2 linked regions of the Oreochromis niloticus genome follow. The protein of the gene in region 1 purifies or fractionates together with the protein of each later gene. This does not show direct contact. Links are inferred from orthologs where the notes say so. Each region holds a gene or a part of one and is shown in the gene's direction. Other genes may lie near its edges.

Evidence for each region.
Region 2: the proteins of rabggtb (region 1) and rap2c purify together in Homo sapiens (co-immunoprecipitation; 3 studies listed by BioGRID and IntAct, counting the BioPlex papers as one, with this or other methods). This does not show direct contact. The link is inferred for Oreochromis niloticus from reciprocal best matches to the Homo sapiens genes RABGGTB and RAP2C.

What each region holds. Positions count from the first base shown.
Region 1 is NC_031982.2:25,765,159-25,775,384, reverse strand, and holds the start of rabggtb (geranylgeranyl transferase type-2 subunit beta), read left to right. Parts: upstream 1-6,076; 5' UTR 6,077-6,185; coding exon 6,186-6,188; intron 6,189-6,521; coding exon 6,522-6,629; intron 6,630-6,942; coding exon 6,943-7,140; intron 7,141-7,447; coding exon 7,448-7,553; intron 7,554-7,874; coding exon 7,875-7,927; intron 7,928-8,234; coding exon 8,235-8,345; intron 8,346-8,780; coding exon 8,781-8,906; intron 8,907-9,440; coding exon 9,441-9,590; intron 9,591-9,783; coding exon 9,784-9,924; 3' UTR 9,925-10,226. Other genes in the region: acadm (medium-chain specific acyl-CoA dehydrogenase, mitochondrial), read left to right, coding at 2,022-2,152, 2,330-2,438, 2,686-2,826, 3,773-3,868, 3,982-4,230, 4,319-4,390. UniProt on the Homo sapiens protein: Catalyzes the transfer of a geranylgeranyl moiety from geranylgeranyl diphosphate to both cysteines of Rab proteins with the C-terminal sequence -XXCC, -XCXC and -CCXX, such as RAB1A, RAB3A, RAB5A and RAB7A.
Region 2 is NC_031966.2:20,429,203-20,439,611, reverse strand, and holds the start of rap2c (ras-related protein Rap-2c), read left to right. Parts: upstream 1-5,276; 5' UTR 5,277-5,972; coding exon 5,973-6,245; intron 6,246-6,892; coding exon 6,893-7,171; 3' UTR 7,172-7,178; intron 7,179-10,409. UniProt on the Homo sapiens protein: Small GTP-binding protein which cycles between a GDP-bound inactive and a GTP-bound active form. May play a role in cytoskeletal rearrangements and regulate cell spreading through activation of the effector TNIK.

The sequences.
Region 1 (10,226 bases):
AATATTAGATCTTCAAATGAACGCTTTAACTGCCATGGTTACTACTCTCGATTTTAGTTAAGTGTCAGTCTGCCAAACTGTCATCTAGAATTAAAATATTTGTAAACATTCAGTTCACACGTTTTCCGTGGAAAACGATGACGAATGCTAATTCTCATTCTTGCTGTTTCACGCTTGGGTGCGAGCCTCTGCAGTGTCAGCTGGAGGCTGTTGATTTATCCCTCTAAATCCCTAACCTCACTTATGGCTGTGAGCTCTGGGTAGTGACCAAAAGAATGAGATCATCGATGCAAGTGGTGGTTTTCTCTGAAAACTGGCTGAACTTTCCTTTGGTGATGGGGTGAGAAGTTCAGTCAACTGGGAGGGAGTCAGAGCAGAGATGCTGTTGCTATATGGCATAAGGAGCAAGCTGATGTGGTTTGAGCATCTGATTAAGATTCCTTCTTGGTGCCTCCTCGGTAAGGCGTTCTGGGCATGTCCTAACAGGAGGAGGCAGAGATTATGTCTCTTGGCTGGCCTGGGCACACCTCCTCGGCGTGTAATAAGCTGGATGAGGTGGCTGGGGAGAGGGAGGTCTGGGCTCTTCTGCTTGGGCTGCTGCCTCTGAGACCTGGCCCTGGATAAGCAGCAGATGATCAGGCTCAAACTTCTCCATGAATGAATTTCCATAATTGGGACTGAAAGGGCTACCCAGTGAGACTTCCTGTTTCTGTAAGGGAGAGTTCTTACTAAACTGTTTCTGCTAATTTAATGAGGAATTCTGTGGATGGAATTCCGTAGATTACAGTGGAAATCTGTAATATTCAGTGGACTCATGACCTCATCTAACAGTACTACTGGAGCACCTTTATCAACATTAGCAAATGACAAATCATCATTGATAGATCTTTTAGAGCCTTTCATGCAGCAAGAAGTTCAGAAAGAATATTTTGTTGCTCTGGGGAAAAACAAAAAGGACCTAACTTCTTCAACTAAACAACAAAGTTGGTACAGAGTCATTAGATCCTGGTGCAAATAAAGAATTTCCTAGATTTGAATTTCTTAATTGTAATCCACTAATTGTTTGTTCCTCACTTTGGTAAATGGTTTGTACAGAGGGAGTGGTGTCCAGAGTCTTTACATTTACACATTTATTTTATTTTTTTATATTTTATGTTTTTTCAAGATGGTTTAAAAAGAAGGGAAAAAAGACAATTCCTGATTACTTAACTGTCTGTTTGGATGAGTTGATTTATGCTGGATGTCCTCAAGTCCTCTTTCCGTGCCCATCTGTAGCTCCTGCTGCTCTGTTGTGGACCTTTTTTGTAGATGACTTTTTTTGGTGCAAACAGTTCAGCTGCTCGGTGATGCTAAAAAGTGGATCACTACTTCAGTGGAGAGCCCGTCTGATGACTGGTTGCCAACCTTTTCGTGCTCTCTGTGCATCCTTTCCATCCACTGGGATCGCCAGTTTGATGTTCCATGCGTATAATCCAGAATCTCCTGTAGACGCTTCTTGAGCTTTATCACAGAAAGTTCTTCTTTATAGGAACTGTTGTAATCTTTAAGTTGCTATGACCCACCTAACACTTTGAAGGACACTGACAGACAGTCACATCACAAATCTCTTTAATATATGGTAGCAGAAACGAACACATTTAAGCCTGCGGCTTCAGTTTCTACGACCTTTGGCTGTGACTCTTTTTAAAGCACCACCTCAACATATGGTGGGCGCAGGTGACATCAATAATCAACCTATCAACAACGACAAGCACAATGACTGAGGATTTAACTTTCAAGTTTGTTTGTTTTTTAATACCCTTTATAGAATAAATGGTAACAAATGAAGGAAAGTTTGTTTGTGTAGGAGACTTTGAATAACAAGGCAGTTCAGAGTGCTTCTTGTTATACCGTCATGCTTTATTTATTTTGTAACAAAGACCATAAACTCTGTGTTTTACTACTGTGTGCTGAAAGCAGCAAACATGCAATGAAAGACGGTGCTGCTGTTTTCAGTTTAACTCCTGTGTGGTTTTCTGCAGGCGTACTGTGTCACTGAGCCCGGGGCAGGATCTGATGTGGCCGGCATCAAAACACGAGCTGTGAAAATGGGCGACGAGTATGTTGTTAATGGGCAGAAGATGTGGATCACCAACGGAGGGAAAGCTAACTGGTGTGTGCTCACAGTCGCTGCTGATGTATTGCATTCGTTAAAGTTGTAGTGATCAGTTTTAAAGGGCATTCATCCTCAAGGCCACTCTGAATGCTGAAATTTGTGCTGCTCTTCTCTCTTTTCTCTCTGATTACTACAGCAACTTCTGTCTGGTAATTTAGTCTCTAATACTTTTAGGTACTTCCTGCTTGCTCGCACTAACTCAGATCCCAAATGTCCAGCCAGCAAGGCTTTTACTGGCTTCATTGTGGATGCAGACACTCCAGGAGTTCAAATAGGAAGGAAGGTAAGCTGAAAAAGAGTCTTTCAAAACATTAATCACATTCTTCAGTGAGCAAATCATATTTTAAATGTTGCAGAAGTTTGATGCTCTGTTCTATAAACATTAGACACATAATGTCAGATAATTACTTTACTGAGTAGTGCAAATGATAGCATTGTTTGTTAAAAATTATATGTAATAAAAGGAGGAAAAATGTTCAGTTTGTAAATGCATCCCATTTAAAAATTTTATTTTGTTTTTGTGCCTGTAGGAAATGAACATGGGCCAGAGGTGTTCTGACACGAGGGGCATTACCTTTGAGGATGTGAGAATACCGAAGGAGAATGTCCTGATCGGAGAGGGATCTGGATTCAAAATTGCCATGGGTGCCTTTGACAACACCAGGCCACCAGTAAGTTTTCCAGCTGTGACAAAACCTAACATCTGTAACGACTGTGCATAGCTTCATCTTTACAAGTAGATTTGCAATCCAAAGATGGTGTTGTGTACAGAAGTAAAGACGTGATTCATCTTTTGGCATCAAATTATATCTGCAAATAAAAGGATTAGAAATTGCAGGGCAAAAAACTGAAGTTATTGGTCTTTAAAGGTGTTAAGCAGTGGATTTTTTTTTTTTTTCCTCTCATTTGAATCTCCCAATTTAACTTGCTAGAGTTTAAGGGATATATATTTGTGCTACTGGAGAATTAACACTTACAGTTAAGGAGAATATCTTATTTATTATTTTCACTAATATTGATCAAAGTTGTCTCTGAGCTGGTAGTTTGAGTGTGACTCAGCAGTACAAAGATGCACTAGTGTGGGCTCTTAAATTTTTTTTTTTCCACTCACTCGCATGCTAAAGGCTCGTCACACGAGACTAATTCAAAGGTGTGCTTAAAAAATATGAACCATGATTGAAATGGAGATGATTGGGTGCCAGTTTGGCTCAGTGGTTGACCATGTGACTGCATGCCGCATGGCCAGAAGAGCAGTGGTCCGGGCCTTGAGGCGACTTCTGTTGTGATTTGGCACTATATAAATAAAATTGAATTGAATTGAATTGAAGTCTGACCTCCTGCCCTTTGCGGCCTGTTTTCCCCTCTCTCCCTGCTTTCCTGTCAGTCCACTGTCTCTATCCTATATAGGCAAAAGCCAAAAAAACCCTGGCTTTGTTTCACAAACAGTTTATGAGCTGCTTCTGTCACAACAGGAACTTTGAAATGTAGTGAAACAGCACCAGGAAACTAAACAAGAACTACAGTGGATCAAACATTACCAGATTTAAGGACAAAAGTTTAAACTTGTAGCTGAAGATTTGTCTGAGCGTGGTTGTTTATGTTTTTGCTGCAATGCAGGTGGCAGCAGGAGCTACCGGCCTGGCACAGAGGGCACTCGACGAAGCCACCAGTTACGCTCTGGAGAGGAAGACCTTTGGCAAAGTTATTGCTGAGGTGTGTTCAAGCATTTTGTTTGTCCTTTAAATCTGGGTATCCTTAGTTGGACTGCTTTTGTTTTAAACTCAGATGAAGAAAAGATCAACGTGCTTCTGTTTCCTGTTTCGCAGCACCAAGCTGTGTCCTTCCTGCTGGCTGAGATGGTGATGAAAGTAGAGCTGGCCAGGATGGCGTACCAGCGTGCTGCCTGGGAGGTGGACCAAGGCCGCAGAAACACCTACTACGCTTCCATCGCCAAGGCCTTTGCAGGGGACATCGCCAATCAGGTGGCCTCTGATGCTGTTCAGGTATTTGGAGGCAACGGCTTCAATAGCGAGTACCCTGTAGAGAAGCTCATGAGGGATGCAAAGATCTACCAGGTGGGTGACAATAATGTGCAACTATGCACTGCCTGCACCATCTCTGCTTCATCTTCTTTAATTAATCTGATTTTTTTTTTTTTTGTAGATCTACGAGGGCACAGCTCAGATCCAAAGGCTCATTATTGCCCGAGAACACCTGGGAAGAGCCAAGAAATGAAGTCTGCTCATCCTCATTTAAACTTACTTTTCATGTTTGGCATACATAATGTACTTGTTTCTGTTCCTTTTGGTCACTTGAACTCAGGATAACGATCAAAATTTTGCCTTAATGTCACTTCATCCTACTGCGGTTTTCAAGACTGATCCAGATCAACAAGACCCATCAGCCTCCTTTGGCCTCAGAATTCACGATGCCACAAGTTACACCAATCCATCAAGTCACAGAATATGACACCGCTATCTCCTGTTCACAGAACAGTTTCTGTTAATGATGGGGGCTGGGGCATACTGTGTAGCATTAATACGGTGTGATCTGCCAATTGCCTGTTATGCTGTGAAGCTTCTGCTGATGAACCTGAACTGTTGGGACTAAAGTTAGAAAAAAGGGACTAGGATTGGACTAACATTCAGCCTTACACTGTTGCTGCAGTACTTTAACAGTGTGATTGGTGTTTGATCACATTCACTCTTCTTTGCATCAAAAGTTTGATAAATGGTCATTAATTTCTTCATGCCTTACTCCAAGCCTTTTCTCTCAGTTCTGGCTCTCATACTGATCTTTGTTTGTTTGTGTTTTGCTTTTGTTTTTGTTTTTTTAAAACAAAAGGTTTTAAATGTAGAAATGAATTTCTTACCAGAATGTGTAAACATACTGATGTTTGTAAATTTGCATGCTGTCTGAAAACAGTTTGATTTTACATTTAGCTGCTGTCTCTTCTACATTTAAAATGAATATCCAATGTTTAAAGCGTCAGCTTTACGTCTTACCTGTGCAGACAAGGCACATGTGGATGAGATGAAGATAGACCATTGTCACATCATGGAGAATTGTGTCCATAAATTGTCACTGAATAAATTATTTCATTCAGTCTAAACATCTTTTTTTTCTTCTTCTCCTTTCTCCCATTTGCTAAATCAACAAGCAGTTTGAGTCTTTTCTAAATTTCATTTCTCCTGAGTTCTCCACATGCTGAGATGAAGCTCATTACCTAATGACAGAGCATTCACAAGCATGTCTTTTTTAATTTTCTTTTTATTGCAAGCTTCACTTGTTAGGAATCTGTCAAATATTCATTATACTTAAGGACTTTTAAAACAACTTCTTTAACGTTAAAAAGTCAAAGTCTGCTTCATTTTCAGTTCTGTAATTGAAGTAATATGTGTAGATAACAGCAATATAGTCTTCAAGACAACAGCAGCACTAATGTCCTTTATGTTAAGGCTAGGTGTAAGACACATTGCTCATGTATATGTGTGTGGGTTGGTTAGAATCCAGTCTTCTGGGGGGGCAGAGTGGGAAGTGAGTAGAGGAAGGAAGGAGTTCAATATTTTGACAGCCTGGTGGATGAAGCTGTGTCTCAGTCTGATAGGGGAAGTCACCACAATGCTGACTGCTAGGCAGGTGTTACAGTTGTCCAGGAGGGAGGGCAATGAAGCAACCAGTGGTCTTTTCTGCTGCATTTACTATGTGATTCAGGTGGTGGAGTTTCTAAACCACACAGTGATGTAGGTGGTCACAGTGTTTTCAGTGGTGCCTTGCTTGAAGTTGCACATGATGGTTATAGAAAAATAATTGCAGTGGGAAATTTTCCCCCAACACTGAAAAATAAATGACTTGAGTAAGATACCTGAACATTTGTGCTTAAATATATTTGAGTAACAAATATCACTTCAAATATGAGAATTTAGGCTGCGGTTCTCCCTCCAAACCAATAGGTGGCAATAACGCGCTCCAAACCAACAGCCCGAATTGTTGTTGAAGAGGAAGAAGGAAAACGCCGGATCATGTCAGAATGGTAACCAGCGACCTGTTTCTAGTGTGATAAGGAGTGTAGTTTAGGATAACATTACAATAAAAGATTATTTAAATGTGCTCTTTCCTCTAGTCTATCCAAACTTAGTCTCACACAATCGAGCTAATCAGTGAAAGCAGCTAGCAGAGTGGCTAAGATGTTAGCATGTAGCAGCCTGTCAACAAGCCGTGAATCATGTTAACAGTCAGCCATTTATCTGCTAAACAGGGGTTAACTCAGCGCTAGATTATGAAGAGGAAGAAGTCAAGTTAGATTTTTTCAGGTTATTGAGTTTTAGGGCTGTCTGACGTGTTGTTGGTGTGTGTTGAATTTCAGGGGACCCAGGTGAAAGATGTGATCATAAAGCCCGACGCTCCCAGCACGCTGCTGCTGGAGAAACACGCAGACTACATCGCTGCATACGGCTCCAAAAAGGACGACTATGTGAGTACATGCCTCCTCAGAGCCTTGATATCTGTGTTTCTACTCTGGGCTTGGCCACTTGCAAGAAAAGGGTGATCGTTGTCATCCCGCCACTCCAGTGATGACAGTGATCCTACCCAAAGGGAATGAGGTGAATGGGATGAGAAAGTGTGGGACTCAAATTCTAAGGGGTCGCTGAATGGGTGGTCTTCAAAACCCTCCAGATAACAATCCAGTTGAGCTTCTGTGGTAGGCTTTGGAGTTTAGAGGGGCAATCACTAAAAAGCAGCCAACGTTTTTGAACTAACGCTGCCGACCTTTGGTGGTCTGTCAGGAGTACACGCTGTCTGAGTACTTGAGGATGAGCGGCATCTATTGGGGGCTGACTGTGATGGACCTGATGGGCCAGCTACCCAGAATGAACCAGCAGGAGATCATAGACTTCATCAAAGCCTGTCAGCACGAGTGTGGAGGCATCAGCGCCAGCATTGGACATGACCCCCACCTGCTCTACACTCTCAGTGCCGTCCAGGTAGCAGATTACGCTCTTATTCTCTACAGCTTTATGGCTTTAATTCTAGATGATACACTGAACTTTTAAATATTTATATGTGCTTTAATATTTCTGAATTGGCCCCTCTTTAGCAAAATTTTATAGCAGTTCTAGTGTCCTCTAGATGTTTATTTATTTTTCTGCATAGTGCTGCTTATATTTAGCTCAAATAATCATCTCAAATTGTGTGCCATAGTGTCTGGTTTTTGAATGACCTTGAATGGTCTGCACATGGTGTATTTTATGTTCTCTTGTTTATTAGTATTTTGTGAACTCTCTTCCTCAGATCTTGTGCTTGTATGACAGCATAGATGCGATTGATGTGGACAAAGTTGTGGAATATGTCAAAGGGCTGCAGCAGGAAGATGGCTCTTTTGCGGGGGACAAGTGGGGTGAGTGAGTTTTACTCTCACATCCCACAATTGACATAATCAGCCCACACTTTTCATGTCTTTTATCTTTCAAATATGAAACTAGTTACAGCTAGTTTGAAGCTATTCACGTGATCTTGACTGCTACAGTCTTGACAAACAGATTTAAATCTGTCATGATAGATCGGTTAAAAAAAAAAAATTATAAATTGTATTACTGAATTATAAAATCTTTATAAAATCTTTGCATGCAACTTTCACTTAAGGCTTGCAGCAAAAATGCAATAAAGTACCGTTTTCATGTTAAAATAGTGTAACTTGTGTATCTTTTTGTCTTTGCAGGAGAAATAGACACGCGGTTTTCCTTCTGTGCAGTTGCTACACTCGCATTACTGGTACGTATGTTAGTCTTTCCATGTATATTATTATTAACATGATTTATTATTTAACTTAAAACTTTTTTTAGTTGAACCTGTTTTAGAAAGTCCATTACTCGGCCGTGTTATGTGGGAGCATCAGACTTCATTTGTGTCGATAAAATGAGGCTAAATAAATAATAAAGTTACACAATATCACAAAGTTCATCAGTTGACTCAACAGCTCAGCTCTTTCATTCTTAAGTCTTAACAAGCATGTTTTAATAAACTGTGTTACTTTCAGCTCATTATAATTCATTTTAAGATGATGGTTTTTGTTTCCCAGGGCAAGATGGATACGATCAATGTTGACAAAGCCGTAGAGTTTGTTTTGTCATGTATGAACTTTGATGGAGGCTTTGGATGCAGACCTGGTTCTGAGTCTCATGCTGGTCAGGTGAGTTCACCGATATACTGATATTTACTCCCACAGAAAAGTTTGGAGACTCTCGGAAGTGTTTTGTTTCTATTTGATAGAAAATAGAATTGAGCCAAATTGCAATTATTTGTTAATAGATTCAATAATCATAACAATTTCATTTTTTTAATGAATTGTTGTCAGACAGTTAGTAAATCAATCTTTTTGAACAAAAGCAGGAAAACTCTTTTCAGTTTCAACCTAAAATAAAATAAAGGAATGATATGTTAAGTTGACACTTCCTGCCTGATTTGATCCTGCACACCAGTCTTGTTGAATGAAGCTGACTTGTAGAAGAGGCCAAGACAACTGCAGTGGATGGATGACGTTTTCAACCTGGATATGGCAAATTTGGCACTTTAGGATCAGTTGGTATTAAAATCAATTTCCGGCGTTTTCCTTCCTGTCTGTCAGATTTACTGCTGCACTGGCTTCCTGTCGCTCACTGGCCAGTTACACCAGTTGAACGCTGACCTGCTGGGGTGGTGGCTGTGTGAGAGACAGCTGCCGTCTGGAGGCCTGAATGGTCGACCTGAGAAGGTTTGTGCCAAACACTGTGAAGTATTGAGTTATTTAATGAAAGTATCTGGGTTTTATGGTTTGAAATTCAGACTCTTTTGCAGTTGAAGAGTTTGAGCTGTAGAAGCAATAATGTAGATGGAACAAGCTGATGATTTATTGGATTGGATTACCTGGTAATAAATACAGTTTTTAAGCTTAAATAAAATATTATTGAGTCTGAAAGGAGGAGATCAGCTTCCACCAAAGGGTGGCTGGGTTCTTCCTCTTCTTTGGGCCTCAAAGTAGAGCCACTCCTCCTCCACATCGAAAGGAGGCAGTTGAGGTTGTCAGACCTCAACTAGTATCTGACTAAGACTGACTGGGCTGACTGACTGGACGCCTCCTAGGTGAGGTGTTTCAGACATATCTTACTAAGAAAAGTGGAACTAAAGGAGGTGGAGTGGGGAGAGGGAAGTCTCAGTGTCTCTGCTAAGACTGCTGCCTCCATATTCTGAAATGGGATATGGCAGAAAATATGAGCAACAGCTGTGGTTTACTTTCGGTATCATTCAGCTTCCAGATGTGTGCTACTCGTGGTGGGTTTTGGCCTCGCTGAAAATCATCGGCAGGATCCGCTGGATTGACAAAGACAAGCTGCGAAAGTTTATTTTGGCCTGTCAAGACGAGGAGACGGGAGGTTTTGCTGATAGACCAGGAGATATGGTGAGAAGAATTTTAAGAATCTAAATTTGAATATTTATGTTTTGGACTGAAAAAAAAAGTCTTTGCATGTGAGGTAAAGCAGGCAGTTTCAAAGACACTGAGTGCGAAGCGTTTTGGTCCACTTCTGTGGCCCACTTTTGTAGTATTTTCTTTATAATCAGTCTTATTGATTCTTGTTAATCCTCCTTTGCAGGTGGATCCTTTCCACACCCTGTTCGGGGTTGCAGGTCTCTCCCTGCTTGGAGACGAACAGATCAAACCGGTGAATCCAGTGCTGTGCATGCCCGAGGACGTCCTTCAGCGTATTGGCCTGCAGCCTGACCTCCTCAGCTAACCCTCTGATGCATCACACAGACACTTTTTCCACCCGCACAAACAGAGGCTCATGGCACGGCTGGATTTCAGGTGCACAGAGTCTCACAGTTTGGACATGACTTCCTCTGAACCTCTCTGTTTTAATCTCCTGCTACTCATCGAGTCGGTGTTCTCGTGTCACTGCAACGAAAGGAGGGGGCTTAAAAAGATGCTTTGAAGTGTCATCATCTTTGCAGAAGGCTGGAAATCATGCAAAAACATTCAACAACATGCAACAACAACTTCTCAACTTACTCACTATGTCAGTTTGAGGGGGAAAAT
Region 2 (10,409 bases), on another chromosome or scaffold:
AGAAGAAAGTCAGTCAAATGGAAAGCATAGCTCTACTAAGGAAAGTATCATGGTCGACAGTATCAGAGGCTGCACTGAGGTCAAACAGACCGAGCAGAGAACAAATCCCTACATCAGAAGCCGTATGAAAGCATGTTTGCTGAACAGCGAAAAGTTAGCCTACAGTAAACGCTACTGAACTGGTCTACAAATATCAAGATGCATAACTATCTATTTATGTGCTGTTTGTGTATTAAATAGCACATAATAAAAGCTAAAGCCAGTCTGTATTTTATCTCATGCAATGCTTTCATCCTAAAATGCTAAAACAGAGGTTTAAAATATCTATTTCAATCTGCAGTTTACATACTTTTAGAGGACACCTTATTTGTAATAACCTAATACCAGATAATTTATCTGTGTAGCTCCACTTTGTATGGAAACAGGCTAGTGCCCCATACAGCTGGTTTAAGCTTCATATTTACTATACAGACATAAGAGTGATATAAAATCTTGTGAATAAGTGTATCTCCCAAAATACTTGAATAAAGTATTTTTAAAGTATAGCTGACTTTCTATCTGCATGGTGGATCAAACAGTATGTAGGCTCATAGCTGTCTCTATGAACCTGATGATCAGAATGTCCAGACAGGTCCCTTTTTCTAAAGACTAGCTTCGTCCAGCCAAGAGAATCCCCTCCTTAAGTGATCCTACCCCTAACATCAGTATGCCTTCACTGACAACCGTCCAGCTGGAAAAACAGAATACTTGATTAATAAACTGTGCCTCTCGAGGGCATTTGAGGTTTTTAAATACATTTAAATGTATCTATTAAGGCTCAAGAGTGTATTAATTTGAGGATTGTGGAGCACCATGAGAAAAAAAAACAAACATTTTTACCTCTTAATTTTGTTCCCTCATTCATTCTCTTGTACTTGATTAACTTTGGGCCTGGTTGTAATTTTTTTTTCCACACGGTCCTGAATCATAACTGTTCAACGTGTGCAGAGCTCTGATCTTCGCTGTCCTGTGATCAGATCCTTCAGCATGTGGACACAGTTAACTCAGTCCTGAGAATACAAACAAAGGGCCTTAATCCTTGATCATATGTGACAGCTGTGTATGAAAATGTATTAAATGTAAGATTTTTTTTTCTGACATAAAAAAAACTCGGCATGAAAATAATAATAACAATAATGATAACAAAAAAATCATTTATATGTAGTTAATAGTTTGTGTAGACCAATATGAAAAACATTATGATATGAAAATCGTTTGTACACAATGATGGAGTCATTGTTAATGGTAATAGTTGCTGTTGCTATGGCAACAAAATGACAACATGGCTACCTTTTTATTATCCTAATAGTGATTTTTTTTCCACAATAATTGAGATGACATACAGCACTAACTTATCCGAAAAGGGAATGTCTAATTATTAGTTTGTCTTGTTGCAACGTGATTGAAACAACTTAAATCCTTGTAATATCCAAAGGTCCTTAGGGGAGGTCAGGCGTTTATTTTGTTTTGTTTATTTGACGTTCATTTTATATTTAGGTTTTTTTCTTCTTGTACATGGTGTTTTTGAGAAATAGGAATGAACTCTGGCTTTTAGAGCAAACATCTGTCAGGGAGGTAAAGAGGCCCTTGGACTAACTGGAAGATCTTTTTCTGTGGAGGCGAGCAGTTTTTGCCGCTTGCCTCCTGCAGACTGAGAGATCTGGCTCAACTTTTGGCCAAGAAGGTGGTCTCGAGGTCTCTTACTGCCCAGCTGTGCTGGGTGATGTCGATCCTCACTGAGGTGTATACGAATGTGTGATGTTCACCTTGTTTGCACTTATGTACATAACTATGTCAGAATACTCAAAATTTATTTTGAATAAATACAGATAAAAGAGTCAATTAAAAAAAATCTAATCAATATATTGTTAACGATATGTCTATTGTTTTCTTACATCTGCCCTTTTGTTTGTTGCTAGAGCCCTGTTCTTTGCTAAGCATGGCACTGCCTAGCTGTAAACTACAAATGATTTGCTTTAAAAAGCTCTTTTTTTTCAGTTCAGTTCAGTTGATTGATCCTCTGTGGTTTAATAATATGCGACCCTGACATCAAACAGGAGAGGTGGATCATATGTAAGAACCTAATCTGAGCAGATGACATGCAGACACATTCCTCTCTCCAGTAAAGCACCGAAATAAAGCACAGAGTAGCTCCATCTGCAGGCTGAAAAACAAAATAGGAGCCGATATTAAATCTGACCACAGAGGAACAGAGATTTAAATTCTCCTTCATCTCTGTCATTTTGTAATTTTTTTTTAAACTCTCCTGTTTCTTGTCATTAACCAAAACAACAATAAATCTGAATTCTCCTCAGGATTTTAGACTAAATTGCAAACAAACGGCTTTTCCAATATTTTCCTCTCCCAGCAGCAGCAGCATCCTCACATGACTCTGGTTCTGCTGATTTGAACATGTGATGCTCTTTATTTGCCCCCAAAGCCAGCGATTTTGTTGCCATGGCACTTCTCCTAGTGTTGGACTGACTGAGTCATCCTGGAGAATCGGTTCACAGCCCTCTGACTGTTGAATATTGACTTCAAAGAGTTTGTGAGCAGGGACGGGTCTCTGAACGACGTGTACCCACAACTCACCAAAGCTTCTCTACTGACTCACCAGCTCCCCTCATCATTGCTGTCCCAGTTTAAGTACATGCTGTGGATTTTAAATCACTGTATTGTTACGATTCATTTTAGTTGTGATTGTGCCTTTAATGTGCAAACTGGACTTTTAGGTTCTACATCTCACTGACTAAAACCGCCACGTGAACTGAGCGTGTGCCAATCATATCAATTTAATTACATCCTCTGTTGAGTCCACAACTTATTTTTTAAATTGGGTACAATCGCCGACTGAACGACACCCCGTGAAAGATGATGAGGGCCAAAGACTGTTCAGGACTAAGCCATAAAAAACTCTGACACTCTTGGGCAGACTTGAACGTGACTGCTGTTTCTTTGTTTCACTCTGTTTTCTGCTTGTGGTGCTTGTATGTGCTGCTGTGCTACATGCCAATTTATTTTGCAGTGTATAGCTAATTATGAGTAAGTTACTGTGCCTATGATGAGTTCTGCAATTTCTGTTTGACCTAAATAAAACACTTCATTGTGATCCTCTTGTGTGTTTTTTCTTTTTGTCTCCTGCATTGCAGACATACACATACAGCAAAAGAAGTATATCAACCACAACTTACACCCTGAACATCTGGTAATGCCCCTAAATGTGCATATATAGCCTCAAAGGACCCCTTTATGCAACAACTGTTAATAATTAAGACTACAATAACACACATGCATCTCACGGGGTTATCTGTATATAAAGTGTTTTGGCACCCAGGAAAGAACTGTTAACCTTTCACAAAAGAGAAATCAGGTCATTGGGATGGAGATGAAAATATTATGGGGTTAAATTTATTCAAGCATAGGGTATAGACACACTGGACATTTTGTTAGGTACACCTTGCCAGTACTGGGAACTGGAAACATTCCTCAGGAATGTTGTAGCCTCAAATCCTGGCCTCAGTTTCCTGTTCTTAGCTGACAATACTGGCACCTGATGTGGACTTCTGCTGCTGTAGCCCATCTGGGTTCATAGATGCTCTTCTTCCTTGGTTGTAACTTGTGGTTATTCGAATTACTGTTGACTCTTATCAGCTTGAAGTAGTCTCGCCATTCTCCTCTGACCTCAGGTATCGACAAGGTATTTTCCCTCAGAAAACCATGCTCTGTAAACCCTGTGATTGTGTGGGAAAATCCCAGTAGATCCACAGTTTCTGAAATACTCAGACCGGCCCATTCATGCCATTTTCAAAGTCCCTTAAATCACAATTCTTCCCTATTTAGATGCTCAGTTTGAACCTCAACATGTCAATACACTGAGTTGCTGCCATGTTATTGGCTGATTAAATATTTGTGTTGATTGAGGAGTTTAAAGGTATACCTTATGATCTCCCCAACAACATATAGTTTAAATCAATAAAATAGTCTATAGCTCAATAAAATTAAATAAAACAGGATCAAACAATTATCTTAATTATCTAAAAAATAAATGAACTCAAATATAATAAGGTAATATAACTATGCATTACAATAAGAAATGCAAAGTGGCTTACTAAAGACAGTATGGCAAAAACCAGATGAAATTAAAGTTTCTTAGATAACAGAGTGCAAAGTGTGATGAATGATGCAGTTTTGAAATTAACTGCATTGTAGAGAGTCACTGTCTTCAGTATGCAGAATTAATCTGAATTAGCAGACCACTAACTTAATCTATTGCAGTAAAAAGCACTATAATAAAACTTAAAGCTATTCAGAGAATGTCGCCCTAATATAAATATAAAAACAGGAATCGAAACTGCTCTCAGAGGAAGTGAGGATGACCAGCTTTCCTATGCTGCTGATGTAAGACTGCAACGTCTGAATTTAGACTGTGTGACATCCTCAGTAACAAGGAGCAATGGTCAAGATGGACCTGCAGCTGATTCATTTTGTGGCTGTTTCTTTAAACAAACTCTTCTTCATATAACAGCAGCATTGTGATTGCACATTAAACCAATCTGTGCTCACAACGTCCAGTCTTGGTGTTTTTCACATCGTGTACTAACACACACCTATGCATCAGTGAAGCTAATCCCCTGGAGGATAGTTTGTAACTTTGTGGGAAAGTAAATGAAACCACTTCCTGTGACAAAAATCTGCTCATTTAGATAACTTGTGTGAATATGATAGGTCTGTATGATAAATCGCTAAATATGTAGGTTAGCAATTATCATTATTATTATTATTCTGCATTCAACTAAATGATAACAAAATTGAAATGGTAACAAATTGTTTATTATGTGTGGACATAACATTAGCTCATCACTTGAGTTAGGTTACTGTTTTATGCTTGAATGACTTAAAGGTCAGTGTAAAACAGTTTTTAAAAATTTTCATCTGAAAATGTTTAGGTACAAGGACTGGACTGAAAATGAGTGAAAAAGAAAAAAGATTTTCTTCAAAAAGCCTGGAGAGCTATTTAGGGGCGCATTTAAAAAAAAAAAACTAATTTAAAGGAATAAGGGGTGGCTCAAGGCATTTACACAGTACTGTATTTAAATAAATAAATAAATGTCAAGGAAAGAAAATGATCCAGTCCCCGCGACCCAGAATTGGACAAGCGGAAAACATGGATGGATGTTAGAAACGAAAAATCCTAATTTTCTGTAACGCTTTTCTGTGCTTTTATTATGAAAACCGTCGCAGCGGAAGTCTGATTCTCGTTAGCGGAAACAGGTTGTTAGCTCCAGGAAATCAGATGGTTGAAAAAAAGCCTTTCTTTCTGAAGCAGAACCCACCCTGTATACAGTCAGATAGATACCGGACCAGTAATAAACTGTAGCCAATGGACGGTGGGATTATAACACTGAGTCTGCGTCGATAACGGGCCCGGTTGCTAGGGCGCCGGGCTGGGCCGGAACCAGAACCAGGCCCAGGCTAAGGGAAGGACGCAGTCAACGCTGCGGCGACACCGGCGGGCTGCTGTGGGGACTATCATGCGGTTTAGGGATAGGGGTCTAATGTGTACCACCGTGACCTGCTGTCAGTAGATAGACAACAAGTTCACTGATCAAAGCCAGCGCTTGTGGTGAATCACATCGATCTAAAGGCTGAAAGCTCGAGGATGGCACAGCGGGATTTCAGCCAGGCGCGAGCTAGCTTTAAGGCTAGCTAACGCCGGAGTTGCCGGACATCAACTTTTGCTCTCTGACTAGCTGGAAAACGTAGAAAAACCCAAGTATGAGCGGTTGAGCTGTGTTTATGTGAATGAGGGGGGTTATTGTATATCGTTTAACTTTTGTGGCTTCTCTCGTTAGCTCTCGTAAAGGCCTGATAAATGTTTGTGGAGCGAGTATAGCAGTCGATAGCTGCTAAGTTAGCCCGCCTTGACCGCCCCAATGAAAGAATACAAAGTTGTCGTGCTGGGCAGCGGCGGCGTCGGGAAATCCGCGCTCACCGTGCAGTTTGTCACCGGCACTTTTATCGAGAAATATGACCCGACTATCGAGGACTTCTATCGGAAGGAGATCGAGGTGGACTCGTCGCCCTCCGTGCTTGAGATCCTGGACACGGCGGGGACGGAGCAGTTCGCGTCCATGAGAGACCTGTACATCAAGAACGGACAGGGCTTCATCCTGGTTTACAGCCTGGTCAACCAGCAGTCTTTCCAGGTACCCCAGATGCACCACACACACCTGGAAACTGCAACCGTATGTGGTTAATCAGGCTGTGATTCATACTTCTCATGCAGGGAATGCTACAAGCCACATTATCGAGATTAAAATGGGAAGGGTAGGGCTCATTTGGATCCCCAATATCTCCATATAGCACTCATTTGTTGAAGGATGGCACCACACAGGAAACAAACAGTGCATAAGAAAGCTTAGATAACTATGAACCAGGTCTACTAAAGAAAATAGTCATCCCACGTCCTGATATTTTAGAGCCTTCAATATTAGCACTCGGTATTTAATGGATAATTACTTTTGAAGTACCAATAAATAAAAGTAACAGTGCTTTAACTGGATGTGAAAAGACGTTTTGGCCTTCCCGAAAGGAAATGTTTAGCAACCCTAAAATAGATATTTGCATATTTCCAAAACTATCAGGAAGATTCACAAATGTCTGCTGGGTAAAACAAAGCTTTACGTCAACAATGTGACCATTTTTGAGCCAGAAAAATCGTAATTAAATGTTTGCATCATGAAGACATTGTGCCTATTGAGAAATAACCAAAGTACGCATCTGCTTGATTATTCATTTTTTGTTTTGTTTAAATTTCAATGTCTCACACCTCTTATTTTTCTCAATCTTTAAGGACATCAGACCAATGCGAGACCAAATAGTGCGAGTGAAGCGCTTTGAGAAGGTGCCGCTGATTCTGGTTGGTAACAAAGTCGACCTGGAGTCTGAGCGTGAGGTGGCCGGATCAGATGGACGGGCTTTGGCTCAAGAGTGGGGCTGCCCCTTTATCGAAACTTCTGCCAAGAGCAAGACGATGGTGGATGAGCTGTTTGCAGAGATCGTCCGGCAGATGAATTACTCCTCGCTGCCGGAGAAGCAGGAACAGTGCTGCACAGCCTGCGTGGTACAGTGAGGAAAAGGTAGGGACATCCTCTAGCAGGGCTGTACCCATGCTCTGGACACACAGCACAGTTGGCCCCTCACTATTTTTACAAAATGTGATAAAATGTCCCTGTAGAGATGGTTCACAAGACTGTGTGGTGTTTTGAGTGCAGTGTGAGGGAGAGAGAGATTCGACTGGAAGTGAGAAAGAAGAGTGGGTGGTGCTGCTCTGGGCAAACTGTTTGGTTTATCTTGTTATCATAAGATCGCAGAAAGTATGCGGCATGAAGAATGCAACTGTCTGCCTGCTCAGGGCTGGGAGGAAGAGCAGGGGGCAATGAAGCAGATGGTCCTATGAGGCGAGCCGCAGAAAGAGGAAAATGTGACATCCTGAAAAAGAATTTATGTTCCAAAACAGGAAGTTCAGTTTAGATTCTGTGAGAGATGCAACCGCAGTTTAAAACCCACCAGCCTTTTAAATCTTATGCAGCTGTAGGATTCTCGCAGGTCATTTAGTCTCAAATTAAAACAAGAAAATCAAGATGGCTGCTTTAAAAATTCTGAGTGCTAAACCGTTAATCATTACTCTGTTAATTCATTGTCATCTTATGGTAATATATGAGGTTGATTCTCCATCAGTAGCTTTAATTTGGACTTTTAAGTTGTTTTTAACTAATGATGACATCTGTTAAGTTCAGGATCAAAAATGTCTCAGATAATCAATAATAAGTCATCCTTAAACCCTTTGGATTTTATTTGAGTCCATGAACACAGCAGATTACTTTTTTTGAAGTACTTTTTCACACTAGAAGTAAACACAGTACAAAACATACAGCTGAGTTTTATAGATGCTTCTGTAGACAGCAGGCACAGATGTGCGTTCCAGATTTTTGAGTTAAGACTGGAATGATATCTGATCCAGTTATTAGATCAGTGAATCCCCAGCTCGGTGTTTTTTAAAAAAAAAAAAAAAGAAAGAAAGAAAAGTCCCAGTGAGCCAACAGATCTGACATTTTAATTTATTATGAATTTATATACTGCTAGCTAAATGCACAACAGTATCATAAATGCGTTTTAGGGCAAAAATAAATGTAGTAGAATAAATGATGCCCCTCTCTTGAGACTCCTGCAGATATTGTTACTACTGTAGAAAGAGAGTGCCTACTGTTGTCATTCTGCAGCAAAGTTTAGAAATCTGCCAGATCAAACAAATTTTAATATTAGATTTTAACTGTAATGTTAGATAACCCAAGTAAAAACAAAATGGAGTTTTTTATTATGGGAAAAGATCTATCCAAAATCATGAATGAACTGTGATTAATTCACAGGGGGTACGTTCAGTTTCACTAGTACACACCCTACCAGACATGTTGAATCAGGAAATCACTTAACTAGAACCTGTCTAACAAAGTGAAGTAGGCTAAATTAACTCAAAAAGCAACACATCGTGCTGTGAGTTAAAGAAACTCAAACAGATTAGAAACATTGACATCTGTTAGTATGGAAAGAGTTAAAAAGCTATTTCTAAGGCTTTGGAACTCCAGTGAATCATGTTAAGAGTCATAATCCGTAAATATAGAGAACTGCAGTGCAGATTCCCAGCAGTGGCTGACCTACCAAAATTACTCCCAAGAGCGCATCAACAACTCATCCAAGAGATCACAAAAGAACTCAGAACATCTAAACAACTTTAGGCCTCGCTTCCTACAATAAATGTCAGAGTTCATGATTCAGAGATAAGAAAGAGACTGGGCAAAAATGGCACCCATGGGAGAATTCCCTGGCAAAAGCCACCGCTGAACAAAACAAACCCAAAGACTTGTCTTGTGTTTGGCAAAAAACAAATGTGAGCCTAAAATGTTTCTGTTACATTAGGTGTAGAACTAATACAGCATTTCATAAAAAGAACATTATATCAACAGCCAAACATGGTGGTGGTAATGTGATGCTCTGGGGCTGCTTTGCTGCTTCAGGACTTGGATGACTTGATGTAATCGATGGAACTATGAATTCTGGTCTCTACAAAAACAAAACAAAGCAACAACAACAAAAAAACCCCTGAAGAATATGCTGCCATCAGTTCATGCTTTGAAGCTCAAAAGCATTTGGGTTTTAAATAGGGATGGGAATTGATGAAAACGGTAATTATGAAACGGTATGTTTCAGGTCATTTTACTGAGAAACACGAAAGTAATGTAACAAATTACTTTCTCATTACCTTTTTAGGAAAAGTGTTCGGCATAATATATGTATTACATTATTTGTTTTAAATGTCCCCCAACACAACAAAGACAGGAAAAGCCTCCAACATGCACAAACATTTAACCACACAGCACTTTCAGTAAGGACTGAATCGATAAGGAATCAATCAGTAAATGATATGGATAATGGAATCTGAATCACTAAATTCTTATCAATTCCCATCCCTGGTTATGCAGTAGCACAATGAGATAAGTCCACCTCTGAATGGACTTAAATCAGATTGAGATGCTTTGGTATGACCTTAGACTATTCATGCTTGAAAACCCTCAAAAGGTATCAGTGAATTAAAACAGTTCTGTACAGAAGAGTGGGCCAGAATTCCTCCAAAGTGATGTGAAAGACTCACTGCCAGTTATCGCAAACACTTTATTGCAGTTCTTGCTGTGACTAGCTCTTATGGTTAGAGGACAATTACTTTTTCACATGGGGTCAGGTAGTTTGGGTTAGTTTTCCATAATATATGAAATCATTAAAAACTGCTTTTTGAATTTTATTTGGGTTATCTTTGTCCAATATTAACATTTGTTTTATGATCTGAAACATGTAAATGTGGAAAAAAGAAACAAAAGAGAAAGCAGGGGCAAATACTTTCTCTCAGCACTGTAACTTCACTGTAACCTTTAAGCATCACTTGCAAGCTTTGAGAATTTCCTTTCCTTAAACGGCAAAACTCAGTGATTTAAAAGAAACATCGGGCATTACCGTGTACACAGTAAACATTCCACACAAAAATATTTTAACACAAAATACTGCCATGTGAGTATCAGTAAAGTGCAGTTTTTATCCACAACTTGATTTTATCACACAAACTGTGGCGTTCCTTAAACATCGTTCTGTTTGGGCATTGACCTGCAGGAGGATGTAACCCTGCATGCGTTACAAATAAAGAAGAAATATACCTAAGAACAGTAAATACTGTTGAGCTCCAGGATTCAAATTAGTTTAAGAAAGTAGGTTAATAAGCTACATGAGCAAATTTAATGATGTTTGAAAATAAAAAAAAAATC